4 linked regions of the Caenorhabditis elegans genome follow. The protein of the gene in region 3 purifies or fractionates together with the protein of the main gene of each other region. This does not show direct contact. Each region holds a gene or a part of one and is shown on either strand. Other genes may lie near its edges.

The links.
Region 1: the proteins of set-30 (region 3) and nhr-3 fractionate together in Caenorhabditis elegans (co-fractionation; one large-scale study listed by BioGRID). This does not show direct contact.
Region 2: the proteins of set-30 (region 3) and mif-4 fractionate together in Caenorhabditis elegans (co-fractionation; one large-scale study listed by BioGRID). This does not show direct contact.
Region 4: the proteins of set-30 (region 3) and R05C11.2 fractionate together in Caenorhabditis elegans (co-fractionation; one large-scale study listed by BioGRID). This does not show direct contact.

What each region holds. Positions count from the first base shown.
Region 1 is NC_003284.9:14,556,476-14,562,289, reverse strand, and holds nhr-3 (Nuclear hormone receptor family member nhr-3), read right to left. Parts: upstream 3,787-5,814; 5' UTR 3,785-3,786; coding exon 3,627-3,784; intron 3,577-3,626; coding exon 3,437-3,576; intron 3,386-3,436; coding exon 2,976-3,385; intron 2,920-2,975; coding exon 2,788-2,919; intron 2,738-2,787; coding exon 2,550-2,737; intron 1,624-2,549; coding exon 1,362-1,623; intron 1,310-1,361; coding exon 1,208-1,309; 3' UTR 867-1,207; downstream 1-866. UniProt on the Caenorhabditis elegans protein: Orphan nuclear receptor.
Region 2 is NC_003282.8:6,334,730-6,337,598, reverse strand, and holds mif-4 (Macrophage migration inhibitory factor), read left to right. Parts: upstream 1-1,604; 5' UTR 1,605-1,611; coding exon 1,612-1,671; intron 1,672-1,715; coding exon 1,716-1,844; intron 1,845-2,173; coding exon 2,174-2,350; 3' UTR 2,351-2,369; downstream 2,370-2,869. Other genes in the region: blos-2 (Biogenesis of lysosome-related organelles complex 1 subunit 2), read right to left, coding at 2,632-2,669, 2,716-2,820.
Region 3 is NC_003284.9:4,997,429-5,004,350, forward strand, and holds set-30 (MYND-type domain-containing protein), read left to right. Parts: upstream 1-1,841; 5' UTR 1,842-1,848; coding exon 1,849-2,000; intron 2,001-2,047; coding exon 2,048-2,120; intron 2,121-2,527; coding exon 2,528-2,741; intron 2,742-2,798; coding exon 2,799-2,986; intron 2,987-3,033; coding exon 3,034-3,137; intron 3,138-3,187; coding exon 3,188-3,311; intron 3,312-3,359; coding exon 3,360-3,461; intron 3,462-5,144; coding exon 5,145-5,216; intron 5,217-5,262; coding exon 5,263-5,501; intron 5,502-5,549; coding exon 5,550-5,964; 3' UTR 5,965-6,088; downstream 6,089-6,922. Other genes in the region: ZC8.6 (Phosphatidylinositol 4-kinase type 2), read right to left, coding at 127-151.
Region 4 is NC_003282.8:2,056,627-2,061,229, reverse strand, and holds R05C11.2 (DUF38 domain-containing protein), read left to right. Parts: upstream 1-2,118; coding exon 2,119-2,234; intron 2,235-2,282; coding exon 2,283-3,027; intron 3,028-3,073; coding exon 3,074-3,352; 3' UTR 3,353-3,852; downstream 3,853-4,603. Other genes in the region: R05C11.4 (Protein shisa-9), read right to left, coding at 4,522-4,560.

The sequences.
Region 1 (5,814 bases), 9.6 Mb from region 3:
ACAAGAGTGGCACGCTGGGATGATACTAAAAAAACGAGAATGCTAAATTCGAAAACAGTTAGGAGAGGCATCAGTGCAATCTAAAATGGTGATGGCCTGCACACAAACACGCATTCGATCAAGGATCTGTTTGAAACTTGTTATTCGACAGCGTTGTTCAGTTCTTAATGTTCTAGTGATCATTAGTCGCCCTACTTCTCCTGGTTCGCATGTGACTTTATATCCGAATTGTGTACAACTAGTTGGTTGTTGAAAAAAAAACGTCTTGATGCTATTTCTGGAGCAAATTGGGGCGAGCGGCTTGCCCAGGTCCTTGTGATACACCAAATGGTTGTTCTCTTTGATTTTTCTGCTAGCAGTTGGTGTGTTCTGGTCACGCACAAGCGTCGCAGAGCGCGAAAGTAGATTAAAGAACAGAGAGAGAGAAGGAGTAAGAGAATGAAGCGGAGAAATGGGATCGAGTATAGCAAAAAGTAGGGGAGCGGGACTACTCTTTTTGCCTCTTTTCTCCCCCCGAGAAGACCAAAGAGCGACGTTGTGTAAGATTTGTGCAAAGCAGTAGCCGACCACTTGCACTTTTATTCTGTGGCCTCTATGATGGTGGCCTACGTGCACGTCTTCATCTCTTCGTGCTGCAGGCCTCCAGTAGCATAAACGAAACGCAATCTTTGAAGGGAAAAAGGAAATGGAGAGAGAGAGAGAGAAAACGGCATAAACTACCTACTTCCGGTCTAGAAGGGAACTGACGTGCATGATGTTTTAGTACGAAAGTAATAGACATTTAATGTTTGAAAAAATGGTTTTTGATGGTGGTGTATGTCTGATATCAAATTCTATTTTGAACAGTACTGTTAGATTTGATAATATAATTTATATTTATTATTACATATATTTAATAGGTAAACTATACATAATAATGTCATTGAGGTAACAATAGTTTGGCAACTCTGGACAAACACGAGACCGAGTGGGAAGACAGAAGAAATTGAAATTATTGGAGAAAAAAATGAGAGATAAGGAGAAGCTCAGATCAATTAATTAATATAATTAATCAATGTGTAGAAAGTGTGTGTACCCGTCACAATGAAACACTGACAGTATTGAAATGAAGTATGACAACATAATCAAGCTATTCGAGTAATAAGAATTACTGTAGGTAGGCTGGTGTATACAAAAAAGGTGAAGTACATTTAACTTCCGAAACAATTCAAATGCGGTCTAAAAATAAAAGCTCTTCAAGCACATAATCGATTTCATAGTTGACGTCTCTGCTGAGCTGGAAGAACGAGGAGAGCGAGTAGGCGACCCTCTGAAAATAGAAGATGATGAGAAAGCTGATCTTTTGATCTTGATTCTATTACCGTTGCAGAAGCAATTAAAAGAAGGAGGTGTGCAAATCGCGATGTTGCCTCCGCAGTTCCAAATGTTGCAATTAAATGGGAGAACAGAGCATTTTGCACCGATTCTCTTGCAACTACGAGAAGCTCGCAAGATTCGGCGGATAATCCTTTCACGTTGTGATCCAATGCCATAATCGCTTTCAGTGCAACCATTTCAGTCTTTGTTACATTGAGGCGACGGAGCTGTTGGATAATCATTTCAGTCATGTTTCGTCGGACATTGCTGCAAAAACGAAAACAATATTATTGTGTTTTCTTTTAAACACTCATCAACACCATCATCATCATCATCACAGGCAAATAATGCGCTCTCTCATCTTTCCTACTTCCCGTCATATTACATGACTAGCGCAACCAAACCACAAGACACTTTCGCTCAGCCAGTCCAACAATGATCAAAGTTCAAGAGATCAACACCGACCAAATGCAGTCGTCGCAGCGGTGCGCACTTTACTTTTCGCCCGTCACTCTTTAAAAGCCACACTATTTTGCAGTTTCTCGCTTGTCTTTCAAACACCGAGTGGTGTCATTTTCATAGCGGGAAGGGGAGGAACTGGCTGCGTCTCTAGCTTCCCGACTTGTGCTTTCCACTCCGTATGTAAATGTGTATTCTCATCGATCTCACAAACATCAAAGAGCAAATTTTATTTTTGTTGCGGAAGGGAAGGGAAGGGGTAAGGGCGGCGCAAAGAAAGAAAAAAAACTATACGTGTGATCTAAAGGCGGGAAATCAAAAAATAGAGAGCAGAAAACAAGACCTATGTTGTTTCTTCTGCTGCATAATCTGATCACCATGGGTGGCAATATGATCTCAGATTTAGGCATGACATTGATCACCAAGGGACCACTCATGGGGCGAGAGCATTAATGCACTAAAAATCGGCGAGCTTGTGATGGATAGCTTAAAATAACAAGAAAAAAGGTTCTAAGATCAGATCTTCTTTATCCCACCCACACTTTACAGCATTCTATCTTAAGACACACACACACACACTTTTCCATGGAAAGTTGCTGGGGGGTTTCGATCGACAAAAGAACGAAAAGAGCAGACACACTGCAGACACATTGACAAACAATGATCAGTAGCAATGACGAGCGTGACGAGCGATCGCCTATGTGGATGGGTTCAATGATCAACTCTGCACTTACTCGGCTTTGTTTTCCAACAGTATGTACTTCTTTTGGTCCGAGTCTTTTGTAAATAGCAGCTGGCTGGCGGGTAGCTTGTGTCCTGATGGGAGATAAATACTGTCGTGTTCTGGTGCCTCGATCGCTACCGACTGGTAACCACAGAACAAGATACAGAACGGGGAAATGATGCTTCTGGCAATGACCAGCTGAAAAATGGGGAGTAGGGGAAACGAGGTCTAAGATCAAAGTGTTGTACCTTTTCCGATGGATGCAAATCAGCAATTGGACGTAACGTATTGATGTAGTCAAAAGTGAAAACGATCATTCGCCGAAGATTTGATGACACACAATTTGCATCGGCAACTCCTTTTGCGCCGTTGAAGTTTAACTAAACCAAAATGATCAGTTTCATTAAAACTTATTTCACAATAATGTACAACTCACCAGTGTCCTAGCAGCAATAAGGGATGGTTTCGTAATCGCTTCTCCCATTGGTGGAAGGCTTTGTTGATTTGTTTCGAAATTGTCTTGCAGTTGTATCACAATATTCTCAATTTCTGTCAATGTTGTTAATACAGATTCATCAATAAAGCTCGGTCGGAGGTCCATTGGAGCGGAATCAGCTCTTGATGATGGTGAAGTGGCGGCGTCGTCGCTGTCGTCCTTGAATTTATTCAGACATGGAAGGTCGCCTAGAATAGATCCAACAGAGACTTTTTTGATCGAGCCTTCGGTGTTTCTTCTTGGGTTCTTTTGGCGTCCTGTCTTATCGCGATCAGGACGGATTGCATCAGGCTCCATACCGACTTCTAAGCATTTTTGGAATCTGCACGATCTACACACATTTCGTCCAGCTGAAAGCATGATGGGTAAGATCCTTGAACACAAATCACGCAAAAACTCACCTTTATCAATTCGGCACTTTTTACTGTAACGACACACATAGTTTTTTCCAGCTCGTACAGTACGTCTGAAAAATCCTTTGCATCCGAAGCAGGCGACAACACCGTAATGTCTTCCGGATGCCTCATCACAACATACAGAACTGTAAAAAAAAGACAAAAGTAGATTGGGATCATATGATCGTTCACATACCAGATCGTTGATTCTTCGCCATCAATTCCATTCTCTCCGGAAGGAGAATACTCTCCTAATTCCGGTTTTAACAGGGATTCCATTGAAAATGTTTGACCGGGCGAACCGCATTGCAATAGTGCGGCGGCAAATGAAAACGGGGATTGGGTATCAGTCATAGCTGGAATAAAATTAAATGATGGACAGTCAAGATGAAACAAAAATATTATGAGGAAGTCAACGTATCATATTTAGAGAGTGACAAAAAACAAGACACCGGTCAAGTGCAACCTATGAAGGAAATGATTATCAATCTCTTATCAATTGGGTCTTTTGAGGACGGTCGAAAATCAGAATCAAAATCAAAGTCATAGTTATGGGGCGCACTACATAATCAGTGAAACCAGAAAACCGAACTGATTTCACAATTTTGTATGGAATGTATGACTGTGCTGACTGATTGACTACATGACTACGATCAATAAACAGTTGATCTTGGCGCGAAGACGCATAAGACAATTCAGATGACAGGCCATCAAAATCGTACAATGCGAGGAATACAGGGACAGCAGACGATGAGTAAGATCTTTGGTCATTCAAAGATGCGCAACAAATGATAAAAGCAAAACGGGTGAGACTGTACCTAATGGTACGTTGACAAGATCAAGTATGAATGGAAAGTAATAATGAGAGAAAGGGAGCGGGAATCAGCTTCTTATCAGTTCAATGGAACTAAACTGTTAAAATATCTTTTAATAGCTTATCTTACAAGACAAGACAAAAAAACGGATAGGAGTGTACGATATTCGGTGATGTAGTGCATAGGAGGAATGATATGATGAAACGTCTACGTCTATGATGTTTTAAAGCATTGAACTGACTGAATGAGCAAAGGGCGCAAGAGCAAATGGGGTGTGGTTTGTGCGACGGACCCATAGGCGGAGAATATTTTAAGGGGTTAGAAGAGGGGAAAGAGTAGAAGCTTTTTCTCCATCTTCTTCAGAGATAAAAGCGGGGCACGATGGAAGAGAAAGGAGAAGAAGACCAATTGTAAAAAGACTGGGAAAACGAGGAAAGGAGGGAGGTCTCTTCCAAGCGAGCGGTTAATGTTCAGAGATCAATAGAACACAAAGTGGGCGGGGGCAACACACACACACATACACAGTCAGTTGTCTATGTAGCTAGTATATTGCGCAGATTTCGCAATGGTCGGTTAGGGGAGCGAGAGGACTGATCGTTGAAGTGAGCACACCGATCATCGAAATGAACAAACTACTAGAGAATGTTGGAGGCCGGACCCAGCGAATAAAGATGAAACATTATTTCAAGAAAATCGAAAACCCGCACCGCCCCAATCTTTGATCACCGTCGGTTCGATTCCAGTTTCTAAAGTATCAGAGGTCGCTTTTAATTGATAGACGGCGCCTCCCGAAAAACTTGATTGTGCCGATCCTGGCGAACCAACAACATAATACCCATAGCGTCGTTTTGCAGTTTTTGCTTGCTGAAAGAACTTGTGAGAACAACATGGATCATAGAACAACAAACGTGATTTTGAAATAGTTAACTTGAGAAACAAAAACTTTAAACTCTGCGTTGTTGTTGAGCTAAAAATAAAAAAGGTCAACGTGGTGTTTTTCAAGTTTGTTTTCCAACTTTAACATAAAAGTTCAAGCCTACGGTACAGTAAGACTTTGCAATTTCCTAAAAAGAATAAAAGTAATAAATTATAACTACAAGCCATAGTAGATTGCCGGCTCTGGGAAAGGTAAACCCAAATCATTATCCAAGTAATAAAAACTTTGGATTTATGTCTTGTATTCGAAAAATTAAAGTTCAACTAGGCAATTCACGTATAAAGAAAAAAAAAGAAGAGAAACCGCACCTATCGACAGTGCCCTCAGAGACCAAAAATGATCAAAAACTGTTTCAAATCGACTTTTAAAAACGTGTTCTGTGTGATTTGCGCCACCGATATATGATCAGTATTTGATCAGACCAATTCGGAAATAATGAACAAAAACCGCTGTGTTGTGTGTGTGTATGACTCTGATCATGTTTATTCCGTTTCACAAAAAAAAGTTTTTTTGAGTGACGAATTGAACAAATAATCACCTCGGGACTTTCAATGAAAGACCTCCAAATAGTGGCAAACTGTGATAAGAATGCGTGGGAAGTTCGTTGAAGTCAGCTGTCACTGAATATGACG
Region 2 (2,869 bases), on a different chromosome or scaffold from region 3:
GCCAGATATACGGTAGCCGGTCTCGCCACGAACAATTTTAGTTAAATGCGACAAGGTCTCGGTTGTTGCGGAATTTTTATAGAATTTCATAGTTTTTTAGACAAAAAACACTTTTATTTATGTTTAAAACAACTCAAATATAACAATAAAACGCATGAATTCCAACAAATCGATGCTACAGTAATCTTTAAAGGCACACGTCTTTTCACATTTCCTATGCTTGTCGTGTCGAGACCGTGTGCCGTATTTCTGGCGCAAAAAACAACAAAATTTCGCTTTTGAACAATAATTAAATAAAAAAGAAATTTAAAAAATGAGACGTGGGAATTGTATACGGTTAATTTCAAAGAATTCACGGGAAAATTCATTGAAAAAATTCAAATCTCAGAAAAAAAGTGAAGAGTGAACAGTTTTAGAAACCTTGTCAGTTTGGAAAACTACGTGATAACTCAAAAGAACGGAAGAAAGTTTCTCACTTTTCCGTGTCTCTCTGTAATCTCTTGACAAAGCCCACTATTTCAGGCCATCAGAGAACAGGGTCGGGAGGATCACGCCACTCGTTTCAACACTCAGTAGTCCACAGCTTGCACTACCCACATTGTTTCTCCGTCTGCGTATCCACGTCTTATGTTGTCTCTCGCATTGTCTTTCTATTTCTGAGTCTCTTGCACCTCTCTGTCATCATGCATATATACAATTGAAATGGAAAGGACAGACTGCACTAAACCGAAAAGCACGTGGTCTTGTCTGGGAGGAGAAGAATGTTGAAGACAAATCACACGACAACGTGATATGTGACGTCACAGAGGGGAGTCCCCACGTGACAGGTACTTTAATGAGACAGAGAAAGTTCGAAATGTTGAGTCACGAATCGCGAACGGAATTGAGCCGAGTGGAAAAAAAGAGTTGGAAATTTCGAGATGAGCAGCCAGCTGATTTAGTCTACAGTAATCTAGAATAACTAAACAAAAGTTTTTGAACCTATTCCAGCTTTATGAGTCATGAAAAATGGAGCGCAGCAATAAAAATATGGTGTACGAATTTCAGGAAATACTTCTCGTTAACAAAGATAGTTTGAAACTACAGTACTGTTCAAAGCGCTGACATGGTTGTGTCTAAGAAAAATTGTCGTACCGAGACCTGGTACCGTATTATTATAGCAAAAATCGCGAAAATCTGCATCTGAATAATATCAACTACATAACTGAGATCGTGGCGAGACCCTAATGAAATTACGATAATATAAATAATATTGATTCAAAACTGTGATTCTTGCTTCTAGTTGTTGCAACACATTCTGATCTGTGTCTCCCTAACCTACTTCCGATTTTCACCAAAAAAACCGTGTGCCCAACCCAAAATTCAAGGTCAAACTTATTTCCATTTCCCCGTACTAATTGTTTCCATGTCATCCCATTTCTGTCCATCCTGCGCACATAACATTGACAAATGGAGTTGTGTATTTATTGTCGAGTGCACGCTCTTTTCTTCGAGCGACATGTTTTCTCAGCTGGCTGAGCATTTTTTCCCGTTGGTTTTTATGTTGCGAAACGACAATTTCTCTTTTTTTTAAAATATTTTCAAGCCGAATTTCAAAATTTTAGAATTAAAATGCAAGTTGTTCGAATTCAAACCAACATCCGAAGTGCTGATATTCCAGAAAAGTTTGAAGTAAGTTTGCATAAAACGAAATTTCTAATTTCTAATATTTTCAGCAAGATGTGATCTACAATTTATCAGTTGTAATGGAATTACCAGCTGATAAATTCGTGATTATTGTTGAGCCGGCAGTTAGAATGAGAATTGGATTTGAGAATAAAGAAATTCCAGTTGCAATTGTAAATGTGCGTTTTTTTTTATTTTGAAAAAATATTAGGCTTGGGTCTTGTCACGTGTAAAATTTTTCAGCTACAGTAACCTGTGTATTTTTCAAAATCTGAAAACTTTTTTATAATTAAAATTTTTTTAATCGAGAAGAAATGTGTGAAAAATAGAAAAACTAACTAGATTCATAAAATATAAGTTAATTTTATGAGAAAAATATTTTTAACTAAAAAGTGATAGAATACCGGGGTACGGTAGCTGACAAGTTTTGGACGTGCCGGGACCAGAGACCGTGTTTTTTTTTTTTGAAAATGTCAACTCGTTGAAAATTAAGAATAACAATTTTCAGTTCCAAACAACCCGGCCTTCTTCTCGAATCGAAAATGACTCATATGCAAAAAAATTGACATCAGTGCTCAATGAGCAGTTGAAGCTTGATCCCGCCCATATTTTCATATCATTTGATTTTAAAGATGCAAAAAGTTTTGCAACTCAAGGGAAGACAATTGCTTCTTTGTATGAATAAATTTGTAAAAAAGTTGAAACGCATGGATTTAACAATGAAGTAAACATCTGAAAACATCGAAAAAAACAAGACAAAGCATAATTCATAAGTTATTTTATAGCAAAAGGGAGGGAGCAAAATTAGCATTAATGAGAAATAGAAACTTTGACAAGAAAATGTAAAAATAAGTTATGCTGAATATAATGACTAGAGTTACATAAATTATTGAACGGAATGTGAATAAGAAATCACACATTAATTTAGTTACAGAAAAGCTGGAAATAGTTTGAGATTGAGCTGGCTTATTGGCTTTGCTGTTGGATGTTGGTGAGCTTGGATTCTGAAATTAAAAATCTTTGAATTTTTTCTTGAAAGGCTTAACCTACCGAGTTGGGTAACATAATTTTCAAGAACAGCGGTAGCTTCCTCCAATCTCCGGGTGCTCTCATCCATAGCATCAATTTGGGAAAGATATGGACGCAGATTCTCGTCTGGAAAATAATCTTTCATAAATTTTCCGAAATAAATAATAAAGGCATA
Region 3 (6,922 bases):
GATTTTGTGTGCCAAATTGTAACAATACAATTTCACAAAAAAATATTGCTGATATTTTTTCATCCCCGGATTTGTTAACTGAATTTTTCCCATATTTTTCCACAATTTTCCTTAAAAAACACTTACCAGAGTCGGGATGTCCACTGTTCATGGCGTAGAGCTCAATTTTGCTAGAAACTGAATGATTTTAGACAGGAATCTGGCAGAAAAACGGGAAACGCTCGAGAAAACAAATTAATAATTTAATTTTCTAATTTTAAAACCCATTTCATTAAAATAACACACTGATTGTTGGAATATTAAACAAAAAATGACTGAAAACCATGAAAATAAAATGAGCAACAAAACACTTCTCAATAACAAAACATATAACGTGATAAATAAGCAGGAACTGGATTTGAAAAAATAGCTGCATTCATTAAACACGCATCTGAGAAGAAATTGTCGGTGGAGCGTACTTGCTGATCTCCTTGTTCAATGGCCGGTGAGTGTGTGAGTGTGCGTGTTGAGCTAGTCGCTAGTCAGACCACCTGCATAGGCAATTGAACTGTCGGCAAGATTGAAAAAATCGATAACATGCTCTGAAGGACTGTTTAAAAATCCGAAAGTTGATTTTGAAATAAACAAAAGATAAACTGGAAATACAAATATACATTTGCCATGCAGAAGCATTGAGAAAAGATCATCAGACCTTGTTTCAGCAATTATTTAAATTTGAAATGTACACCTTTTTCTACTTGTTTGCTAGAAAATTCTACGCACTGAAAACGTCTGGAACAAATTTTTCAAGCGATTCGACAAAAATCTTCAGAAATGTAAATAATCAAAACTTTTTTTTAGAAACCTATATGTTTTTAATTTAAAAAATCAACGTTGAAATTTTGAGCATTTTAGGAATTGAAAAATGCAAATTTTGCAACAAAAAAAAGCTCTTGCTTCAAAGAGTTCCCAAAAATCCATGTTCTCGGTAGTTCGCCAATTTCTGTGTTTTTTTCGTGAAGGTGGAGTGCGGAGAGAAGGGATGTGACTAAAAACCATTTATATAATGCTAAAGTAACCGTATACCATAGTATAACTTCTCAAAAACATTTGAAAAATTTTTTTATTTCGAGTAAAAAAAGGTGAAATATATAATATGCAGTGGTTTGAATATGCAAACAGTGCTTTAGTTTTCTCGACAAGTGGAGCAAACTCAGTTTTCACCACTTTTTGGCTTGAACTAAGACTCCCGCATTACAGTTTTTCCTTGAAAACTGGGCCCAAATTTAAAAATTAACCATTTCTGGCAAAGAGGATTAACTACTAATGTTAGATTGACATTCTTTTAAAAAAACCTTCTAAGTTTCAGAAATGTAATGTTTCACATTTTCATAAAAAATGAATCATCAAGTATGTTTGCGTACTCTCTCTCTCTCTCTTGGTTTTTTCTCTGTGTGTGCCTTGTACAGCAGCGCCTCATTTGGCCCTCTACTGTCACACTCCCGTACCTTTTGCTTCACGATTCGGTTTTTGTCTTGTTTCGCAATCGTCTTATGATCTGGTGAGAATAAATCCCCTCTCTGTCGATGCCTTTCCTCCAGCAGCAGCAGCCCCATCCGATCGTACGCCATTCGCCCAAGCATTACACTGTTGGAAGGGCAAATACACACACCGGAGGAGCCCTTCTTCCCTTGCTCTCATTTGTAGTCACTTCTCTTTGCCGTCTCGGTTTTTCTCCCCTTTCCTACACAAACACTCCCGAGACCTAGCATATCCTCAAAATCCTCTGTGCCTCCCCCCCCCCCCGTTGCATTTTATTACTGATTTTTCAAAGATTTTGCATAAAAATAGCAACCTTTCAGCCACCGTATGTCGTCTGGAGATGCTCCGTTAGAAGTGGTAGGGGTGGAGAAAATTGGGTCCAAACCTAGAAGCAAAGAATTCTATCCGTTTGCTTACTCTCTTTTAGACTGTACCAAAGACGATTACTGCTGGACATGTCTTGGAGAGAACGTTGAATTGTAAGTTTGACTGAAAAAAAGAGTCTTATGACATACGTTGTTTTCAGAACATGCGAACAATGTAAAGTTGCAAAATTTTGCTCGAAGCAATGTGAAACATCAGGAGCAATTGACCACAAGGTACCTAAACTTAACACATTCAATTTTTAGTACTTGTGCAAAATACCTGCCCCAAAAATTTTACTAATACGTTTTTCATTCATTCATTTCTTCTATAAATGATAATTCAATGAAAACGTGAATGAAGTTTGTTTGTATGTTTAGGCTTGAAAAAACACTAATCCAGATATGGACAGAAAAAGGTCACGAGTACCCAATTTCTACTGAAATTTTTTGTTTTTACTTTTTTTTATATATAGTATGTATGTTATAGTTTTACAACAGTAAAAGGATTTCAAGACTTGTTTTTTATAACCCCTTAATTTTGCAATTGACACTATTTAGATATAATTTACACACATTTTTCTCTTGAAAATAATTCCAATAGGCAATAAAATACTTACGACATGATATTCACTTTTTTTTAGTACGAGTGTGGACCTTTGAAAAAATGCCCGGATTTGAACACTGATGAAAGAATGCTTATTAGAATTGTTGGACGGTATAAGGATATTCATTCTGGAAAAGACAAAAGCATCGATGGATTTTACAACAACCGAGAGAGCAAGAGAAGCGTCATGGAAATTTGGGAGCACTGTGCGGATATGAAAAAAGATGAAAATGCTATGAAATCTTTTAAAAGTAGGGTTTTCGAGTTTTTGAATTATTAAAAATAAAAGAAAACACTTCTAAATTCAGAAACCTACGATAGAGTGAAACAATTCGGCGACACTAATCATTTAATGGATGAAGAAGTAACGTTCCAGCTTCACTCCAGAAACTTCATCAATCGACATAGCATATCGAATGTGGATTATTTACGAGAAATTGGAAAAGGTCTTTATTTGGATCTTTGTAAATACGATCACTCTTGCAGACCTAATGCGGTAAATTTTTTTTAGATGTTTTTCTTAAATGAATGTTTTAATTTTAGATCTACAGTTGTAACGGGATCGTGGCAAAGTTGCGAGCTCTTCATGATAATGTTGATTTAGAAAATGTCGAAACTACACATTACACCTACATTGAATTACCACCGTTAGTATTTTGAGAGTATAATTTTTTTAAACTGTAACTTTAATTTCCAGCTGTAAAATCCAGCGTCGTCATATGCTTAAAGAAACATGGTATTTCGAATGTCACTGTGAAAGATGTGACGATCCAGATGACAACTGGCTAACATCAGTTCTTTGCCCAGTTTGCATTTCAAAGGTATACTTTGTATTAAAAATATATATAACTAACTTATTCATTTTTCAGACAGAATATCGAAAAACAATTAAACTACATGGTCCGGAGGCATATGCGAATCCTGAAACATTGGAGATTGTATGTGATAGATGCAGTACCACGTTGGATAGGGTAAGGATTTTTCACAAAAAAATTGTGTAGAATTGTAGTAAAAAATTTGATAACGAAAATTGTATCAACCGTATTATCCCTGTTAAACACGTCATTGCTCATTTCTGGCGCCTTATATTTCGCCTTACTCAAAATTTTTCGCAAAATGTTTCTCAGTCCACCTGTAGAATAATATTTTGCACGTATTTTCCTCTTCACAACTTTTTTATAAAATTGAAAAAAACACAAGATATACTCGGCATTTGGAGGCAACTTCCTGCCAAATTATGGCAACTTCCTGCCAAGTTTTGCTTGTTTCCAACTTCCTGCCATATTTTGCCAACTTCCTGCCAAATTTTGGCAACATCCTGCCAGCATGTAGCATGCATGGCTTTGGCAACAGTCTGCCAACAGTCTGCCAAACTTCGGCATCAGCTTGCCAACAGCCTGCCAAACTTTTTGGCAACATTTACGGTAAACGTGACGCACTGGCGTAATTTCGGAGCATCGGTGCTTTTCAGCCGAACTTCAAAATTGAATTAATTCAAACTTTGCGGTGGAACTATCGAATTTCGAATTTTAAAAAACTAACAGTGATAGAAAAATTAGTAGATTATCATAAAATGAAAGCAAAGTGGGAATAAGAACGCATACTACACGAAAAACGAAGTAGGATAACTTCATGTCGTCGCGGCTTCTGAATTAATGTTGTAAAACATGCTGTTAAGAAAACCCGACATGATAGAACGAGCTATGCGAAATTGTTTATTCTTTGAGAACAGTTACATCAACTTGCTTACAATAGTCCTTTACATCACCATGTTCTAGAATTACATGTTGGGCATTTCAGAGCTACTTATCTGTGTTTACCTCCTTGAAACTATTTTCTTCAACATTTTTTTACAATTTTCCATTGGATTTCATATTTGAACAACTCTATTCTACTTTATCTTGCGCGCGGGCATAGCTTAGAGGTTAAGGAATTGGGCTGACAGTCACAAGGAGAAGGTCCGGGATCTGGTAGGGCAGAAAAAGGGAAACATGACAGTGCAAGTTGATATCCAGCCGATTGGACTAATTCAAAAAGTAACGTTTTTTTTTCTAATTTTACCTTGTTCTGGTTGAATCGTATGTATGCTAAATTCATTTTATTGATCCCCTTAATACAAAAATAACCATAATCAGTTGAAAAAAAACGAAAAAAGAATTTTTACTGACAACACCTGGGCAACTTCCTGCCAACTTCGTGGCAACTTCCTGCCAACAATTTGGCAACTTATTTTAGTGGCACTAAATAAGTTGCCAGGTTGTTGGCAGGAAGTTGCCAAAGTGTTGCAGGAAGTTGCCTCTGAATGCCGAGTAAGCTGTCAAAGTACAACAGTGGTAGTGCGGGGCTAATAAGAAAAATACGGTAGCTTTTAATTTTTTCATATGGAAGTTGTCGAAAAACCAAAAAAAATGATTAGACATATCTTTTTAATTTTTAACGGTGGTGTATGATCATTGGTTATTTTTCTAAATTTATTCATGACTCAACAAAACCACAATTTTTAGTTAAAGTTTTGGCCAAGGGCCAAATTAAAACTTTTTGACTTTTTGAATAATTTAGCCAATTGTTCCAGTTTTGAACCCCAATGTTGTAATAAAAAAATAATTTAACATCAGTTTATCCCTTTGATGTTTTTTTTAAGTTTTTTTTTTTAGGAATACATCTTCATGGCTCTTGATGGCATGAGAACTATCCGTCGAACTGTAGAAGGAGCTGAAGATGAAACGGTAATTTTTTCCCGTATCGACAAGATGACATATGATATGTTTACAGAAAGATCCCATCGAGCTTCTTAAAATCTACCAAGGAGCACTGATGACCTATGAGCGTATTTTGCCAATGTCAAATGCCTATTTCTGTCAGCTTATTGCTGCAATGATCCCTCTAATCTCAAGAGTAAGCATGACGAAAAAAGAGCGATTGGTGGCTTCTTTGGATCTTCATCTGAAATGTGAAACATTTGTGAGATATGTCTATCGTCATGCTCATCCTTCAAAAGCAATGCACTTTTTGTAAGTTTTAAACACTCTCATAACTTTATTAAATATTGGCGGGTTCAGGCAAATGGGTCAGCTTCACTTGGAGCTCGCCAATGACAAAGATGCGGCAAGATGTTTGATTGAAGCTCATCGCATCATGGATTATCTTTTCGGAGCGGATCATTTCCTGTCAAAGCAGACCAAGGGATTTATGGATCACGCTTTGTCGTCTCTAATGCAATTCCAGAGAAACTTTGTCAATGTTTTGGACCGAGTACCGGAAGCCAAACAGGCATTGGAAGAGCGCTTCATGACGGCCGATGAGAAAAAAGCGCTGAAAGATTCGGAAAAGAATAAGAGGAAAAGAAATAATAAGAAAAACAAGAAAATTGAGCAGAAAAATGAGCAAAAAAGTAGCGGTGAAAATGGAAATTCAAAGACAAAGGGAGTTGAAGACGGATTGGAAGATTTGCCAGAACTTGTTGCTGAAATGTAGTTATTATGTTGTAGTTTGTTGTAATTGTTTACACTTTCCGCTATAATAATTAATTTATCCAATTAATACGTTTTTTCAGTTTTTTTTGCAATAGACTATTTGAACATAAATGTTTTCAATCCCATTTGTTGCATCCAAAACGCGCCAGTTCCAAAAAAATGTCAGGTTTTCAAAAAGTAAATACACTTACTAATAATTATAGGACCCCTTGGACCCCTGACAATAAGTTCTCTCATCGAACCAAACTAAAGCGGTGTAAAAACTTGCAGACTGCGAATGACTGTACGTCTGGCCTTTTGTTGCTCGATCAGAAACCACAATGTTTTGTTCTCTTTCAAAATGTGCTTGTTTTAATTTTCTTTTGAAAATGGAAAATACGTGAATCAATTCTTGAATTCGAGAAAAACATTATAGTTATTGATAACCAAAAAGTTGCAAACTAGCTGCCTTTTTTTAATTTACGGCAAGAGTCGTTCAAGTTTAATCAGGATTTATCCAGGATTGAGCAAGAGTTTGATTTTTTTCAAGATTCGTCCAAGTTTTGGCAGGAATTGTTTTTTTTTCGTTTTAAACTGGGCAGGAGTAGTTTCCCTAACTTTTAGCAGGAGTGTGATTTTTAGCAGGAGTCCGTCTTTTTTCGGGAAGATTGTATACAAATGTTTTTTTTTCGGCGGGAGTTTTGTTTGCCTGACTTGAGTATTAATTATAGGTTCTATAACAGATCTGAAATTTTTTAAAATTCGATTTTAGTTTTGAAATTAAAAAAAAAAACAAAAATAATTGGGACCGCTTATATTTTCAAAATTTTGCAATCATACTGTTGCGGGCCCAGAGCAGTTGGGCGGCTCCTTTAGGGTCGCAAACGAACAAGCAAAGGAGAGAGTAAAGCGGAGTTCTGAGGTGAAGGATAAGCAGTGTGGAAATAACTCAAGTTTAATCATAAACCCATTTATTGCTC
Region 4 (4,603 bases), on a different chromosome or scaffold from region 3:
AATTTTTAACTCCGGCACTTTGCCGGAAATTTTCCGGTTAGCTGATTTGCCGGAAATTTTCAATTCGGCAAATTTGCCGGTTTGCCGGAAATTTTCAATTCCGCTAATTTGCCGATTTGCCGGGAATTTTCAATTCCGCCGATTTGCCGGAAATTTTTAACTCCGGTACTTTGCCGGAAATTTTCCGGTTAGCTGATTTGCCGGAAATTTTTAACTCCGGCACTTTGCCGGTTAATCGACTTGCCTGAAATTTTCCGGTTAGAGAATTTGCCGGGAATTTTCAATTCGGCCAATTTGCCGGTTTGCCGGGAATTTTCAATTGTGCCAATTTGCCGGTTTGCAGATTTGCCGGGAATTTTGAATTCCGGTAATTTGCCGGTTTGCCGATTTGTCGGATATCAATTTGCCGGAAGTGTTTTTTCCGGCAAATCGGCAATTTTCTGGTTGGCCGATTTGCCTATAATTTCAATTCTGGTAATTTGCTGATTAGCCGGAAAAAATCGTTTGCCGCCCACCACTGGAGTAGAGTCAATTTTTTTGCTTTAAATAATAGAAAATGGGCCGTAATGACTAAATTCAACAGTAAATATTAGTAGGCAAGAATTATAATAACAGTTCAGTTTTGAGTTTAACTACCGTACCCTTACAGTACCCATACATTTAATCAACTCATATGAGTAGGGTAATAGGTGTAAAGAAGCTCTATACAAAGAAAAACTAATCTCATTCATTTTAAGATGTTCCAAGAAAATATTGGTTTCCGTTTCGCATGTTCATATATTTCCAATAACTAACATCTGGATGCAATGCAGGAAAATATTATTGCGGTTAGAATTTCCTGGAAGACGTTGGGAAGATGGGTATTTGTTTTTCAAGCTGGACAATTTTTAGATTATTTGTTTTAGAGCAGTACTTGGATTTGGGGAATTTATGAAAACCTGGAAAACTTAACAGGTAAATAGCTAAATTTGCATAGGGGTTATTTAGATTTTTTTTCGGCAATTTTGTCAGTTGTCAATTTTCCTATGAATAAATTATTTTTGCTATGCAATCTATGCAACAAAAAGAACAACGAAAAACTAACGGAAAGAAGCCCAGAAAAATTATTTAATTAGTGAAAGCGTCGAAAGTTTGGCTCTTTTCTTTTATTTCCAATTAACATATATTCGGTCAGAAAATTTGTAGACTCTATGTGATCAATGTTCTTGACTAGTGAAAAGGTACCGACTATGCATGTTGATAATTGGTAAGTGAGCATAGTTGGTACCTACAATTTCTACGTCACAACATCTTGACCGTTTTTCCCCCACAACGGGAGTGGCCTGTGAGCGTATAGAGAGAGTTGAGTTTGTAGAGATACACAGGCAATATAACTGCCTCCTACATATTTTGCGAGAGAGTGACCTTTAGCAGGTGAGCCTGTACAACAGTTTTGGAGCTGACAAAATCTGATGCTGAAAAAGAATTCGTGTGTCCTGCTGTGTGGAAAAACTGTCAAGATGTTGTGACTTAGAAATTGAATGTACCAATTACCACATGCAAACTAGAGTGCGAATTAAATTATTTCAACTTTCGGTCACTGCGGCATAACATTGACATCATGGCAAAAGTTCAGATTTTCGTTAAATTTGCATTTTTCTCCAAATTGTGAATCAACTTAAAGGGGGAGTAGAGTTTGTGGATATTTTGCTTAAATAGACTAAAACTGGTCCAAAACCACCGAATTTCATAATGAGACATCACAAAAAATTTCGAAAACTTTCGAAAAAAAAAAATACACGAATAGGAACATTGCAATCATTTTTAAATTCTTTTTTATTCTGCTAAGTTCCAGGTAACCCCAAAAAAACTCATGTAGCCAAAAATCTGATCTTCCATTTCACTTCTGTCTTTTTTAATGTCCAATTAACATTATTTCCTAATTAGATAAGAGTGGCAGATCAAGAGCAACCTAAACCAAGTTTTGCCAAAATCTTGCTCAATTTATGGCCCGACACGAGAAAAAGCTAGAGTTAGCACAGAACAGGCATATTTTATTTCTCCTACAGTGTAATACTTGCACGAAACGAAATTATTGTTAACAATGCAACTATTCAGAACCAGCTAGAGCAGCTGACAATGGATGAAACGAAGCTTTTGTCTGAAGTTTCTGGCTCATCGATATCAAGCACTTTGTGGTTCTACAACACTGTGATTATGAACAGCGTTGTTGAACGTCTCGATTTTTTTGATATGTATGTAAAGTCTTTTGATTTTTTTTAGCTTGAATTTTATTTTTTCAGACAAGTGCTCCGTAAAATTTCTTATGGAAGCCGTCAGTGCATCGACCTTATCAAACCAGACCATAAATTACTCAAAATCGGCATTCATGTTCAAAGCATTGGGTGCGCACTTCTTGAGATGTTTACCGAATCCACAAACCGAAAAGTTTCATATAAGGCTTCAAGATTATCCAGAAAATCTAGCGAGTTGGATTACGGCAACTTTTCAAACGACTTGTTCCTTATTTTGAAAAATCAAAAATCTGCTTTGGAAGAACTTAAAATGAATTTTATGCAAGTTGATGAAACCAGCGAGTCAAGTTTCAAGGATGTTACGGAAGAAGAAAAAAAATACATGGATGAAATTGAGGGGAATCCCCAGGAAACAGAAAGTCATTCAATCTGGGACCAGAATGAGAATCGATTTTTGAAATCGTTCAAAGATTTGCACGCCTCGCTGGGTCGATTGCTGCCAGTGGAAAAGTTGGTTGTCACAACAAGAAACCAAAAAACCATAGTGCAACTGCTCCAATCCGTGGATCCCTCTAAGCTGAACAAAATTGAGTTTGGAACATCTTTCGACGTACCTGCAAGTGATGTATGGAGCATTGAAGAGTTTTTGGTCATGGAACAATGGAGGAATGCGAAAGAGTTGACAATTATTAAGCGTGTTATCAAGTGTGATGTTGAAAATCTTGTTCACTTCAGAAAAGTTGACATAATTTTGGATTCGTTATCATTGAAAAATGTTATATATTTGAGAGATGTGAGTTCGAATATCTCATGTAATTTTTAAAAAAAAATAATTTCAGATGTTCCTAGTTTCACCGGACTTTCTCCAGTTCAAGGTCACATTTGTGAACAGTGACGTAAATAATTCTATATTTCAAGAAGGATTTTTGGGAATTCCGTTTCGCATAGTTACCGATTCTACAAATAATCAACCTAGCATTTGGTTTTTCAATTGCATGAACGACACAGATGATCTACAAATTCGATATTATCAAAATCTTAAAAAATTCATGTTTAATCGTATTCCGAGGGAATCTAGTCCGGCTATTCCGAGGGAATCTAGTCCGGCTAGGTGCTAGAGCTGTTGTAAAGGTCACTTCCCTGTTCCTCGCCAACGGGACGAAAAGTTGTCCCTAATGATTTTTTTTTCAAATATTAATTTTTCACCTGATTTAAACTAGGGCTCCCATGAGGTCGCCGCAAAGGCGCCTTCGCCCGCCTCAGCGGTCGCCGCGCCGGCCTCACGGCGTCACTCTCGCCTTTCACTGAATTACACATAAACTTTTATTTTCATTTCTTATATTTTTTTTCTAAATTTTCAACGAATTTTTGAAAATTAAAATTTAAAATTCACGTCATTATTATTGAAAGCGGCGAACGGCGAAGGCGAAGGCCGGCCGGCGTGAGGCCGGCGTGAGGCCCGCATTTTGCGCCTCACTCAGCTGGGAACCCTAATTTAAACAATACTTTCATGTGCATGAATCTTTTGTACGTTTAAATATAATTTTTAATGGCGTGGATATAGATATTTCACGTACTATTTTTATAAATAAATAAATTCACTTATAATAAATTTAAACATTTATTTCTTAATTATTCTCAATTTACTGTGCACCTTTTCATATTTTACGGTAAAGTTAAATGTATCTAAATATTTGTTTAACCTGAAAATATTGTGCAACATAAAAAAAAAAAAAATATATATATATACAAAATGGACGCACTTTGACAAAATGAAAGCATAAATCAATAATAAGTCTCACTATGAGAAATGATTGAATAATTAAATAAATAAAAAATTTCAAGCTGGAAACTTGCTGGAAAAGGTGATAATTGAACTTTTTCTTAATTAAGAAATTTTCTTCAAACGAATGTTTCCGCGGTATTAAATTTTTTTATTGAAGCAAAAAGCGCAGAGATCGAAGATTTTTACATAAAAATTCCATATATTCCAACAAACATGGAAGAATTTTGAAAGAAGCACATGAGAAAAAGCACCGAATAATGATGAATTTTTAACCAAAAAATTCGAAAAAAATCACAAAAATACAGAAAAATTGAAGAAGCCGGGTGATTGAAAAAAAATCAATAAATTCATAGAAGAAATTGAGCAAATGATCCGGGGGGCGGGGAATTCAATATCTTACATTAAAAAAAACATGCTAAAATGTGAGAGTACTTCGTGTCAAGACCCGTTAAATTTGAAGAGAGGATTTTTTTTATAATTTTTTAGAAAAAAAAAGGAAGATTAGGAGATTTGAGGAGGTGTCCTACGGGATCCGTTTACCTGAAAATATTGATTTTTTTTTATTTGTAACTATTTCCGTGCG